Linked DNA regions of Macaca mulatta. The protein of the gene in region 1 purifies or fractionates together with the protein of each later gene. This does not show direct contact. Links are inferred from orthologs where the notes say so. Each region holds a gene or a part of one and is shown in the gene's direction. Other genes may lie near its edges. The genes, in order: ATP11A and TMEM30A.

Region 1 (7,303 bases):
GCTATTCATACACACAGAAGTTTGCTTCCCACAGTTCTGAAGGCTGAGAAATCCAAGATCAAGGTCCCAGCAGATCTGGCATCTGAGAAAAGTTCTCTCCCTCATAGAAGGCCTCTTCTAAGCGTCTTCATATGGCAGAAAGGGCAAGCAGGCTCCCAAAAACCTGTTTTAAAGGGCACTAATCCCATTCCTAATCACCTCCCAAGGCCTCCACCTCTTGATATTTGGGATTAGTGATTAGGTATTTGGGATTAGATTTCTACATGTGAATTTGGGAGGACACTTTCAAACCATAGCACGGGGTGAGTTGGACTTTGTTTTTTAATAGTTCTGATTTTTTTTTCCTTAGATTTACCACGAAGATGCTGACATGTGTTAGAAAATCCAGCTCATGTGGTTTAAATGAAGACATCTCTCATAGCAGGAAATTCCAGGTGAGGGCAGCAGGGTTTTGGTGAATTGTCTGATTGTGCCGAGGACCCCTGCTCTTCTCATCTTCCCAGGTGGCCAGAGTGAAGATGCTCTTCCGGCCACCTTCTCTCGTGGGTGCAAAGGGCTGTGGAGCACCAGGCATTGCATCCAGACAGGGAACGCAACATCCGCCAGGGAAAAAGGAGCATTTCCTGTTTATGTTCCTGTAGGAGTGAGAAAACCTTGGCCAGACAACCCCCAGCAGGCTTCCTGTTGGGACTCATTGACTTGAGCTTGTTTGAAGCCAATCGTTGGAAAGAGAAATGGAGCTACCAAGATTTTCTCAAAAGAGACACAGTTTACCCTCAGCCACACAGAGGGTGGATATCTGAGCCAGCAAGGATAAAGAGGGCATGGCTGCTGCCCTGTAGTATTCGCTACAGAATGAAAAATAATTCGCATTTACCACTGAATAAAGCAGACACTCCTGACAGGCAGGCAGCCTTGATACAGTGCCTTATACAACCTCTGTTTGCGCCTCCACCCCAATCCCACAGTCACAGTTTACAAGGTAGAAGCTTAGTCAAAATCCGGCTCCAGCAGTCAGAGTTCTTGCAGGAAAATGAAGGTGTTCTTAGGAGGGGATTTGGAAAGGAGTTTGATGAAGGGACTGTTTGTTGCGGTGAGGTCATGGTTCAAGGACCCTTCAAAAGGGTGCTGCTATTTAGGGACCAGAAACAGTGGCAGACCGACAACATGTTTCACCCTAAGAGGCTCGGGGGAGGCGATAAGTTCTGTTCGTAGAGCCTGGAGGAGTTATGCAATGGAACGGGCACCCGGGAAGAAGAATCTTGGCCGCAGAGGTAAACCAACACTGGAGGATGTAGGGGCAGGCGGGAAGGAGAGGGGAGCAGGCCCCTGCCTCTCTCCTACCTGGTCTGCAGCAGGTGCTCCTGTGGGTGAAGATCCACTGAGGGGCACCACCAGCTTCCGGAGCTCAGGGCAGGCTGCAGCAGGACGGGCTGGAAAATGGAGAATCGGTGATTTGGACAAGAAGTGGGAGCCGTTTACTGTTCAGTCACTACGATTATTGTTCACTAGTACTCATTTCTATTCGTCTAAAAGGTGGCTAACACCATTTCTTTTCCGCAAGCACTCGGGAGAACATTCATATTCAACTGCGTTCCTAAGACCCAGACGGGGCAGCGTTCTCCACAGGCCACCAAAAGGTGTTGTCTGTTTGGTTTCATCAGTGATTATCTATGGCAGTAAGACAGGAAGTTGGAAACCAAGTATCTCAATTAAGTCAAGGCTGGGTGGATTTAGAGAACAAAGTGCTTGTTCCCCGGGCCAGGTCACCCTAGAGAAAACAGAGGCATTCTCTGGGATGCAAATGGTAGTGTTTGTGTGGCAAATACTCCTCAGCCCAGTTCAAAGCCAGCAGCATGAAGGACACGCCACGGGGAGCTGGAGACCAGGAGAAGCTGAACTCCTCTGTGGTTCACCAACCCCTCAGGCCACCTAAGTGTCTTCCGCTGTCGCAGCTTCGGGGCCAGAGGGCCAGAGGCCGGGCCCTGGGAGCCACCGGGTTTCGGAACCGGGGCAGCCACCTGCAGAGCAGGAAAAGCCGGCGGGTCGGCGGCGCCACGTTCCGGGGCGAAACCCAGCCTCGGCTCAGATCTCCCACCCGGCCGGACTCCCGCTCTCTCCCCGCGCCCCCTCCCACACTTCCACCTCGCCCCGCGATCTCACTGCCCCATCGAGGCTTCCGGGAGGAGGAGAAAAGTTTTCCCGCAGGAACCCGGGAAGGAAGCCCTGGTACCCTGACCGAGACTCCGGGTTCCCCCAGTGCCGAGCCCCTTTCCCGCCGCGCCCCGCGCCTGCGCCCCGGGAGGCGGAAGCAACAGGGGTTCCTCCCCGCGGCCTCTGACCTCTGCCCTCTGCCCCCAGGGTCTGAGGGGCCCGGGCCGAGGCGTGAGGGGGCAGGGCTGGCGCGCCGGTGCGAGCGCGGGTGTGGGCGCGGGGCGGGCGGGGGCTGCGGCCGCGGGGCGCATGCTCACTCGCGCCGGTGACGTGCGCGCCGGGAGCAGGGGCAGGAGCCAGCGGGGCCCGGAGGCTCCAGAGGGCGGCGGGCCGGGGAGGAGGAGACTCGGGAGGAGGAGAGCGCAGGCTCCGCTGCGGCCGGAGTGCCTCAGTCGAGCCCAACCCAGCGGGCGGACCGACGGGGAGAGAGAAGGCGCCAGAGCTCGCGCGCGGCCCGGAGCAGCAGCCTCGCCGCCCGCGGAGCAGCAGCCGACGCGCGGCGCCGCGGACCCAGCATTCGCCGGCCGGGCCGGGCATGAGCGCGGAGGGGCCGCGGCCGCCCCCTGCACCGCCCGGCGCGCCCAGGCCGTGACCGGAGCAGGGGGCGCGGCCGCACTCGGACCCCGGAGCCCATGGGCGCGCCGAGCCGGGCGCGGGGGCGCTGAGCGGCGGAGCGGGAGCGGCCGGAGGAGCCATGGACTGCAGCCTCGTGCGGACGCTCGTGCACAGATACGTGAGTGCTCCCGGCGCGGGCTGGGGGACCCGGGTACCAGACAGACGCGGGGCGGCCCCGCAGCCCCGACCCTGTGGCCGGTCCAGCCCCGGGATCGTGGGAGGGCTCCCATGTCTGGGACGCTGACCGCCCCCGGGGCCAGGCGGGATGCTGGGGAGGGGCCTCGGAGTTGAGACCCTGGGGCTTCCGACGGGGTCTAGGTGGGCACAGCGCACGGCCCCCGCCTGAGGCCGCCACCTGCTCTCCTGCCGCGGCCGCCTCGCGCCCCCTTCCCGCCCGCAGCGCCCTGGGGGTTCCTCGGAGAGACTGGCTGGGGTTCGAGCCGTCCCGGCGGACCGGGCGCCCGGAGAGAGCCAACTTCGACCCCACCGGGGCCCGGGTCCGGGGAGGAACCTTCAGATGCGGCTTCCGCGCAGCCGTGTCTGCGGGAAGATTAAGAGATTGGGAGGAAGCGTTACACTTCTGCAGAAAAAGCTAGCAAATGTGTTTGTTCTTTAACACCCCGGGGGATTCAGAAGCGGAGTTGGAATCTTTTTATTTTTTACCTTAAAGTAACCGATTAGATCAGAAGTTCGGGTCTTCTTGGGTTCCTCCGGAATCTGCCCCTTCAGTGATAAGCCAGTGAAGAGCTCAGGAGGGAAGACTCGGAAGGAGAAAAGTTGATTTTATTTTACACCAGAGGAGGGGAAACCGGAATCCCTGGCGTTAGGTGTAAAAAGGGGTGTGTGGCCGGGCGCGGTGGCTCACTCCTGTAATCCCAGCACTTTGGGAGGCCAAGGCGGGCGGATCATGAGGTTAGGAGTTTGAGACCAGCCTGACCAACATGGTGAAACTCCGTCTCTACTAAAAAATACAAAAATTAGCCGGCGTGGTGGTGGACGCCTGTGATCCCAGCTACTCAGGAGGCTGAGGCAGGAGAATCGCTTGAACCCGGGAGTCGGAGGTTGCAGCAGTGAGCCGAGATGGAGCCACTGCACTCCAACCTGGGTGACAGAGTGAGACTCCGTCTAAAAAAAAAAAAAGTGTATATGTGTGTGTAGAAGAGGAAGAAAACTGTCCCAAGCACAGCGTTTCCTGCCACTGTCTTGCACAAGAGGCATCATTGTTCCATAGAGGCTGGCGGTCAGTGGTCAGTCACAGGTTCGAGAAGTCGCATGCACCGGGTTTGGTACTAGAGAGGGCAGTATTATGGGAACTTTGTTCTTTCCCGGCATAGGAATTACCTCAGGCAGCCTTTCATATTTATGAGCTTTCTTTAAATAGGAGACCTTGGCCAAAGATAGGTTTCTTTTCAGCGGAGGATGCCAGATCAATGCTTTCCCCCGGATTTATATACTAACCAAAAACCTCGGAGAGTCAAGGGGGACTTGAGTGCACCTTACATTGTTTCCTGATGTCGGGGAAGCCTTAGGAAGGTCAGCCTGCTTTACTTAAGTGGAGAGAACTCACCCCTGGTGATTCTGATGATTTCGATGCTAGATCTGGAAAGGCTTAGCTGCAGGAACCTTGTGTTACCCCTTCACTGGTGCTCCAGCCCCCAATTCAAATCCTAATGTGAGTGGTAAACCTGTGTTTCACTGTGGTAACGTTATAGAAGACCCAATCACAGTGACTGTGGGTAACCTGCTGTGTGAGAGACGTGCTTTGTTGGGCGGAAGCTTCTGTTCTCAGTTGTGTCGCTTAGAAATGTGGGTCCCTAGATAACTTATTTTCCTGCCTTGTTTCCTCCGAGGGAAATGGAAGAGGGAAGGGACTAACATTCACTTTACCTGTGCCCGCGGTGTTCCCAGTTCATTCCGTTCCCTTCTAACACTCAGTGTTAAAAAGGAGGGTCACATTGTGGTGCTAATGTGCAGCCTCTTTCCATAGAAATGAGAGATGGATGCTCGGCCCACCCTGTGGAGAATCTCACCTTCCCAGCCAGTTCCTGACCCCTTCATCCTGGGAGGGGGACAGACAGACGTCCAATTTTGATGCTTTGACGCCCTTCCTTTCTCCAGGCCTTCAGCTGTTTTCTGTTATATAGATTTATATAAGTGCGTAGCTTACATTTTTAATTCCCTTTTGTTGGATTATTACGCCAGTGGCATCACATTTTCTCTTAATCTAAGGGGTCAATATTCTTTAGTGAACTTTTCCAGCATGTACGTTATTTGATAACATCTTGGAAATACAAGTTGTGGGATAGTATTATTTCTGTTTTTCTCATTCCGCATGTGTTTTTTGCAGTGTATTCGTCTGGCTACCTCACCCATATTTACACACAAAACCATTCATCTCTATAATTTTAAGTTCATGTCTATGGTATTAAACTAATTCGACTTTTTCCAGAAACAGTCATGATCTGCTTTCTTGTTATTTCGTTATCGTCCACTATGTGGGACTAAATTATATTTCCTTTTGCTACAGAAAAAGGAGTCTGGGATTGAATACTCATATTTCCTCATGGTTTCCTTACGTGACTTACTTTATAAAAAAGGATAGATAAACAGACCCTACTCCCTCTTGGTGTTCACATAGTCAATTCCTGGGACTAAGAAAGCTTTCCAGCTCCTTCTGATGTGTGAGGGTGGCTAAAAGATAAAGAAGTCCTTGGAAAACATTGCTGTAGGCATTTTATTGTGGGTTAACTCCAGAGAGATAGCAGAGGCAAATGAGTGAGAGAACAGATGAACGATTAGGCCAGAGTACTCCACCCTGTGGGTTACTAGTTGTTTGGGTGTTTGGATGGACAGGAGCCATGCAGAGATATTTTGTATTTGTAAATGGGGCCATGTTTGTATACTATAAGGAGGTGCTTGTGTGTATGGGGTGCTGTATGCTCCATGGGGTGATGTACGTGCGTGGGGGGCGCAGGGGAGAGCGTGTGGTGCCGTGGGGTGGTGTATGTGCCGTGGGGTGGTGTATGCACTATGGGGTGGTGTAGGTGCTGTGGGAGTCGTGGGGGTGGGGAGAGAGCCTGCGTGCCGGGAGTGGTGTATGTGCCATGTGTGCCATGGAGTAGTGTACATATTGTGGAGTAGTGTTTGTGCTGTGGGGTAGTGTATATTCCATGGGGTGGTGTATGTGCTGTGGGAGCCGAGGGGTAATGTGTGTGCCGTGGAGTGGCGTATGTACTGTGGAGTAGTGTATGTGCTGTGGGGTAGCATGTGAGTCATGGGGTAGTTCCTGTGCCATGAGGTAGTTTGACCTCCATGATGTAACACTTTATTTTTTATTTATTTATTTATTTATTTATTTTTTTTTTTGAGATGGAGTCTCGCTCTGTCTCCCAGGCTGGAGTGCAGTGGCCCGATCTCGGCTCACCACAACCTCCGCCTTCCAGGTTCAAGCGATTCTCCTGCCTCAGCCTCCCGAGTAGCTGGGACTACAGGCGTCCGCCATCACTCCCGGTTAATTTTTGTATTTTTAGTGGAGAAGGGGTTTCACCATATTGGCCAGGCTGGTCTCGAACTCCTGACCTTGTGATCTGCCCGCCTCAGCCTCCCAAAGTGCTGGGATTACAGGCGTGAGCCACCGCGCCTGGCCGATGTAACGCTTTAAAAGGATGTAACGCTTTAAAACGCTTTAAAACGCTTTTAAAACGCTTTTAGGCCGGGCACGGTGGCTCACACCTGTAATCCTAGCACTATGGGAGGCCGAGGCGGGTGGATCACCTGATGTCAGGAGTTCAAGACCAACCTGGCCAACATGGTGAAGCCCCGTCTCTACTAAAAATACAGAAAATTAGCCAGGCGTGGTAGTGGGTGCCTGTAATCCCAGCTACTCAGAAGGCTGAGGCAGGAGAAATGCTTGAGCCCAGAAGGCGGAGGTTGCAGTGAGCTGAGATCGCACCATTACACTCCAGCCTGGGTAACAAGAGCAAATCTCATCTCAAATAAGAGTATTTTTTAACAGCATGGATGGAGAGCTAGTTCCATTTCCTCTTCAGAGTTGTAAAGTGGGCAACACCAATTCAGGTAGTTTAAGTTCCGAGAGAAACCGGGGCAGCCTCAGCGGGAAGCTTACTTTCCTTAGATACTCTCTGGGCAGTGGCCTGAATGCTGAGTGGGAGCCTCCCTGCCCTTCTTAGCCATGTGGCCTTGGGCAAGTGGCTTAATTCCTTCTGCCTCAGTTTTCTCCTCTGAGGGTAAGAGCAGTACTCATTGCATAGCTATTGTGAGGGCTGAGTGAGGTAATCTGGGTGGAGAGCCAAGAATGGGGAAGCGCTCAGTCCATTTGTCATGCCTGGCTGTTAACATAGCTGAGTCCCTGGGTAGGGGTGGCTGGGGAGAGAGCAAACCTATGGCCTGCCAGTTCTGTTGCTCAGCTACCCGTGGGTCCCAGCCTGCTGGCATCATGGGTCCCAGGAGAGGT
Region 2 (6,751 bases), on another chromosome or scaffold:
ATATATCCAAGATACTATTACTTCAGCATGTAATGCTATATAAAAGTTGAGATACTTCATATTCTGATTTTTTATACTAAGTCTTTGATATCTGATGTGTATTGTACACTTACAGAACATACTCATTTGGACCAACCACATTTCAAAAGACTCAGTAGCCCTGTGTGCCTAGTGGCTGTTGTATTAGACAGCGCAGACGGATAAATGGATAAGCAAGAAGCAATTAGGGATGCATTATTGGAAGGAAGGAAGGAAAGGTAGATTTACCTTGCAATTATAGTTGGGTTAATGTTAAAACATTTGATCTTAGTGCATGTCAGCTAGCCTATGGGTAAGTGAATTAGAACTCTGTTAAGGGAAGAGAAGTCCATCTAGCGTTATAAAGTTACCATAGTTAATCCACATAGGAATAAAGAACAAATGTGAATCATATGCCTACTCTGTCACAACCACTTTTGGAAGCAAATATCAGGTCCTTATTTCTCACAGAATTAAGCAGATGCTATGCGTTTTCAAGAGATATTTAGTAATGTCTTCCTTTTCTTGTGTTTAGATACATTAGAATTGTTTCTTATTGGCAATGATTCTTATCCTGTACCTATCGCTTTGAAAAAGAAAGGTATTGCTTGGTGGACAGATAAAAATGTGAAATTCAGAAATCCCCCTGGAGGAGACAACCTGGAAGAACGATTTAAAGGTAAAACATTACTAATATCCCTTAAAAAATTAAACTAGGAGTTTTAATGAAGTATTTAAAATTTTCTGTCTTCAGAATCTTAAGGTTTATGCTTTGAAAAACACAATTTTTCTTTCCTCACCTTCATACCAAGTTAGGTAAATGTTCTAATGTACTAAAATTCTAAAGGAAATGTATACTTTTAATTATGAATTCAGTTTCTGTGGTGTCTTATAAGCATTTCAGCTATAATATTTTAGAATTGCAGCAAAGCTTCTTTTGAATAAACCCCTATTTATTATCCAAATTTATTTGTTTCTCTGCCACTTTAATTTCACAATGTAATATTTTGTCTCCTCATCCCGTCCCCACTCCTTTTAAGGTACAACAAAGCCTGTAAACTGGCTTAAACCAGTTTACATGCTGGATTCTGACCCAGATAATAATGGATTCATAAATGAGGATTTTATTGTTTGGATGCGTACTGCGGCATTACCTACTTTTCGCAAGTTGTATCGTCTTATAGAAAGGAAAAGTGATTTACACCCAACATTACCAGCTGGACGATACTCTTTGAATATCACATACAGTATCCTTTTTTGGCTGGGTATACAGATTCATAGAGCTTGAAAGGAGTCTACTCCAACCTTATATGTGTTATGTGGCATGTTACCTTGGGCTTTAGTTTTGGGATCTGCATTTTTACAAAAGTATGTGTGGTATATGCGAGAATGTATTTTAAAATTTATATCTTCTAGTAATGTTTTCAATTTGCATATACTTGGTACTGGGGTTTGAAGCATATTGTTTGGTAAATTACTTAAAATGTAGGTGATTGATTTATTAACAAGCTAGGTATTTTTAAAAGGGAGATTGTAATTGGGCCTAATGTAAAGGCCAATGAGAATACCTAAAATTGGGAGTTGAGTGGTACTGGGATGTTTTAATATATATATTTTTAGATATTAAAAATCAATGGATGTGTTAATTTGTATCAATGTAATTGTTCATAATTTTGATCTATTGGTAGTATCAAAACTCAAAACATTTTATTATTAGCTATTTTGTTCCACATTAATAAGTTCACATTCAGTGCTGATAAATAACATTTATTCCACTCTATGTGTTAACACTGTGCTGAGTGTTTTCTGCTCATTATTTAATTCAGGCAGCAGCATATCTCCCTATTATAGACCAGAACACAGGAATATCGAGCACTTAAGTAACTTACCTGACTTTACACAGGTAATAACAATGAGTTGGGGTTCATAACCAGGCTGTTGACTCCAAAGGCCATAATTTTACTCTCAGCTACCAACATAGGCTACATCTCCGCTAGTTCACTCAGTTACACCAACCCATATCTGCATAGATGCAGTCTTTATTAGGAGGGAAATAGTAATTTCTTTTATTCTAACCAAAGTCTTTACATCTTTTAATCTGGAGCCTATATTTTACATACACTGTGAGTGAAGAGATCTCCCAATGCTAGAATCTTAAATGTTTGCTGATCTTTGCATTTTTTATTTTCATAATCCAAATGAGTCATAATCCAAGTGGGTTTTGGTTTTAAAATGGGTTAGTAAATGGTTAAATTAATAGACCCAATTTAAAAATATTTTTTTTTGGATTCTAGTCTCTTGCTATTGCACCTGAATACACAAGTAAATATGGCCTGCTATGGCAAGCTAAAAGTGACCAAGTTTTTGAAACTAAATCCACATTGGAGCAGTTTTGGACAGACAGACCCAGTTCAAGTGCTGATTTCTAGAACATTATCCTGAGGAGATAGTCAAACTAGAGAGCAGCTCTGTTAAAATTAGCATCCAGAAAATCTCTAGAGAGTAAGGGCACATTTAGCAACCTGTAGCCTAGGGCACAATGAAGGGAAGTCTGTGAAGCACTGAGGAATTCTTAGTTGATAGATAATTGCCACACAGGAATTCCGCAGCAGGGTCCCAACTTTGAAAGAACTATCTAAAGGAATGCATGATATATGGCAGATTGAGAAGACTTGATAAGACCGGAATTTGGACCTGCAAAACATCAAGGGTTAATTTTCAAAATTGGGCATACGGTGGGAACTGAAGACTTCTAGAATGAAGGCAGAAGCCTGTTTCTTTAGGGTTGGGATGCTAGAGAGAGACTAGCATGGGCAATTTGATACTGTATCCCACAGAATGTTGGGTTAGCTAGAGGTCTCAAAATCATTCCTGCCTTAGTTTAGGGTTGGTTTAAGAAGTTAGCAGAACCGAACCTGCCATTGGGAGTTAGGGACCCATAGGGACCCATCTGTGGGGATGGAGAGTTGAAGAAACTAGAGAAACAGATAGGGCCTAACCCTAGATTCAAAAGATGCTTTTGAAAAAGTTGTAAACTTTTTGCATGGAGACTTGGTTCTGGCTTCTTCGCTACCTTACCTCTTGCAAAATTCTACAACTGGTCCATGTAGATAATTCATCTAGTATACTGGTGCCCTATTTCCTAAATCTCCTTAACAGCCCACCCTTCACTTCCACTGTTAGCTATCAGCTGTGTCACAGAGTGAGTTTTGCCATTGCTCTAAATCAGCAAGTTAAAACTTTGTTATGCTTTTTGACCTTTTGCTCAGAGCCTTTTCATAGTCTCATAACTACACTCTTGCTACATGTTCTTTGAGCTCACAGAGACTTCTAGTCCCTGATTTTTTCCATTTTCTCCTGGTCTGTCAGTCTCCTTGTGTGGACTTCATTGTTCACTTGAACTATTTTTTTCACATTGCATTCCTTTGAGGCCTTTTGCCCCTTCCATGTAATGAGACCAAAAGCACCTGAGAAACTGCGTAACCTTTACATTTTGTTTGTTTTGGTAAAATATTTTGGCTTTTACTACTGACATTTAATTTGCTAAATCAGTCTTTCAAGATAATATTTTGTGTGTGTGTGTGATTTAGAACATGGGAGTAAGGTACCTGTATATCCTAGAATTACACAAATGAATTACCAGCAATTAAATGGCAACTTTTAAAATTATATTTTAAACATCAAGTAACCAGAGATGGAAAAATCTTCCTATACCCTCTTCAGATTACCCTGTACATTATTTTGATGGACGAAAACGGATGATCTTGAGCACTATTTCGTGGATGGGAGGAAAAAATCCATTTTTGGGGATTGCTTACATCGCTGTTGGATCCATCTCCTTCCTTCTGGGAGTTGTACTGCTAGTAATTAATCATAAATATAGAAACAGTAGTAATACAGCTGACATTACCATTTAATTTATATTATGAAAGCAAATCATCTGCATGTGCATCAAGGCCAGTCCTATTCAACCTAGCTTTCGAATGCTGATGTCTGGTTAGTATGTCATTTTGAAGTTGGCACATAACTTTTCTAAAAAAAAAAGCAGTCTTTGTTGTTTGCTTCTTCCCTATGGATGACTTCTGAAAATATATGACGGGTATAAAAAAATTAGCTATATTGATCATATCAACACTGTAATTGCTGAAATGGCATTCTAATGTTTGCTTTTTATTGGGACAGGCCACATGATGCATAGAGCCTCTTTCATGTGACTTGTGTCTACTGCTTAAATCTTTATGCTGTGTTGATGATATTATATTGACATATGATGCTATATATGTGTATGTATTTTGTGGAGAAAGGGATTACAAGATGTATGAGTATAACGACTTGCTAACCTTTCAGGATTCAGAGAAAGATGAAGAAAGACCATATCTAAATAATATACTTCATCGTTTTCATGTGTATAAATGCTTAAAATACCATCTTTGTTGAGGTGGTTCATGTATCCAGTTTATCCAGTACAGTTATTTGTCAAGCTTAGCTTTGATTTCAAAGGACATGCTTACCTTATCTAGCATAAGAATTAATGCTCCTGTCTGCAGTGGTTGGGTAGGTCCTGCTTAGGAGAATTAAAAAATTCCTCTTTCCATTTGGTTAAATGTTGCAGTCAGGAACCCCAACTCACTTGGAATGTTTTTATATGTAATCATTTCCCTTGAAGCTTATGCTTTGTAAGGGAAGAAAGAATTCAGGTGATAATGGGAAAACTGCTTGGCAGAGCTTCATCTTCTGCCTCAACTGTAAACCACATGTAAATGCTTAATGGAGACTGTTTTCATTCTTGTGATATTTAACATTCAGAAAATTACTTCAGCTTTGGAAATACCTCAGGCTGTTTTTATTTTGCAGGTAAGTGTTTTGACTTAAGTACTAATATTCCAGAAATTTTTGAAAGCAGTAACCTTAATTTCCTATGTATTTCATTCCACTTTTGCATATAGGTCAAATGGCAATGTGTATGCACATTCTCTTTAGTTAATGCACCAATTGTTGTGGTTGGTTTTCCTAAGACATACTTTAAAAAGATGTTCTGTAAATTTCCTAATTAAATTATGGGGATTTTGGAGTATGTACATGATAAATTATAATATGTATATGGTTGAAGTTATTTTATTTTTTACTAACTGGAATTATTTTAATATTCCTTATTGAATAAATGCTGTAACTTGTTTGCTATGGAACTTATTCTTAAAGTTCTAGTTAAAAATAATTTTTCCACATGCATGAAAATGTATGTATTAATCAGAGGTGGCTTGATTACATTGAAATTGCTTTATTATTGTTGTTGTTGTTTTTTTTTTACTGAAATAACTCATGTTTGTGTAGAAGAATGCCTGTTTATTCAGAGTTTATATTTTCCTTCAGTTATATTTTAAATCAAAAGGCCTGGGTAATGTATACTTTTGATTAATATATACTTTTTTTAAAAAACAAAAAGCAATGTAATGGTTAATAGTAGAAATGTGCCACACTTTTCAAGTTTTATATAACATATGAAATTCAGTTAAAAGAATGTGTATTTCATAATGACTTTTAACTGGTAAAAATATTACTTGCACGAAGTACTTGATGTATGGTTATCCTGAAATTTTGGAGTATTTGGTGTGTTCTTTGTCTAAAAATAGTCTTTGTTTTGTCAGTCCTTCAGAATGTTATTTATTCTGAAAATTGTCCCTCTTGCACTTGGCAGTTTATTTTCTGGGATACATTGTTGGGGGAGAGGGGTTTCGCCAGTCTTTCCAGATTGAGTCTGTGCTGTTTAAGGAGGACTACCATCCTGCAACTCTTTTTCTAATTGGGGCACAGAGAGGATGTCAGTAAAGAAAAGTTGAAGAGCCCTTTCAGCATTTTCTCATCTGTGGAGAAGATAGAATCTTAAAATACATTTGGAGTTTTATCTGTTTTACAAGTGCATTGATGGCCTAAGTTCCTCCTATTTTCTGCTGTTTGATCTCTAAGGAACTCCTGTTGCTAAATATGAAGAGTATGGAACATTCATATGGTCTCTGTGAAGCATGGGGGGAGGGAATACATTTCTTTTTCTTATAGGCTTTATGCTCAAATGTCATAGTCACCTTTCAAAGAATCATGTTGCATTTTAAATGCAGCCAGCTTAATTGAAGGATGCATTAATTTTCAGGAACCATTTTGAATTATGAAAATATTCCCAGTTGAAGAAATTATTCAATAAGTAAAAGCTAAGAAATGTCATTGAAATCATAAGGCAGTTTAAGCATAAATTGATAAAAATAGCTGTGTACTACTAATTAATAGAAAATCATTCAACCAAGAGAAGAGTCAAATGAATATCATTTGTTTATTGGCTAGTGAGTTTCTTTGTAACCTTGATTTTATTAAGTAATATTCGGTTAGTATGTCCTGTTAATAAAAATGAACAAAATTAATTTTGCTATGTTCAGGTGTCTTGATAAAATAACAACGCCCCAGTGTTGTTGCTTATGTTTAGCACTAAATTTTAACACAGGGTCAGTGAGTCCAGGTTTTAACTTCTTCATGCCTGGATGGGATGAAATGTAATTCATTGTTAAATTAATGCATATTTGTATTTATTAATCACTGTGACAACATTAACCATCTGTTCTTACCAGGAAGTGGTCATATTATCATCTGAGTTACAGTTAGACTGGCTAAGTTTGGTATTAGATCAAGGGGAATGTCCAGTAAACAGAGAGGTAAGGATGATGAAAATAATGAAGTGGGGCACACA

What was found.
Region 2: the proteins of ATP11A (region 1) and TMEM30A purify together in Homo sapiens (co-immunoprecipitation; 4 studies listed by BioGRID and IntAct, with this or other methods). This does not show direct contact. The link is inferred for Macaca mulatta from reciprocal best matches to the Homo sapiens genes ATP11A and TMEM30A.

The regions. Positions count from the first base shown.
Region 1 is NC_133422.1:106,942,512-106,949,814, forward strand, and holds the start of ATP11A (phospholipid-transporting ATPase IH), read left to right. Parts: upstream 1-2,469; 5' UTR 2,470-2,908; coding exon 2,909-2,947; intron 2,948-7,303. Other genes in the region: uncharacterized protein LOC114673506, read right to left, coding at 1,345-1,433, 2,343-2,465. UniProt on the Homo sapiens protein: Catalytic component of a P4-ATPase flippase complex which catalyzes the hydrolysis of ATP coupled to the transport of aminophospholipids, phosphatidylserines (PS) and phosphatidylethanolamines (PE), from the outer to the inner leaflet of the plasma membrane.
Region 2 is NC_133409.1:110,482,190-110,488,940, forward strand, and holds the end of TMEM30A (cell cycle control protein 50A), read left to right. Parts: intron 1-553; coding exon 554-697; intron 698-1,058; coding exon 1,059-1,265; intron 1,266-3,741; coding exon 3,742-3,935; 3' UTR 3,936-5,182; downstream 5,183-6,751. UniProt on the Homo sapiens protein: Accessory component of a P4-ATPase flippase complex which catalyzes the hydrolysis of ATP coupled to the transport of aminophospholipids from the outer to the inner leaflet of various membranes and ensures the maintenance of asymmetric distribution of phospholipids.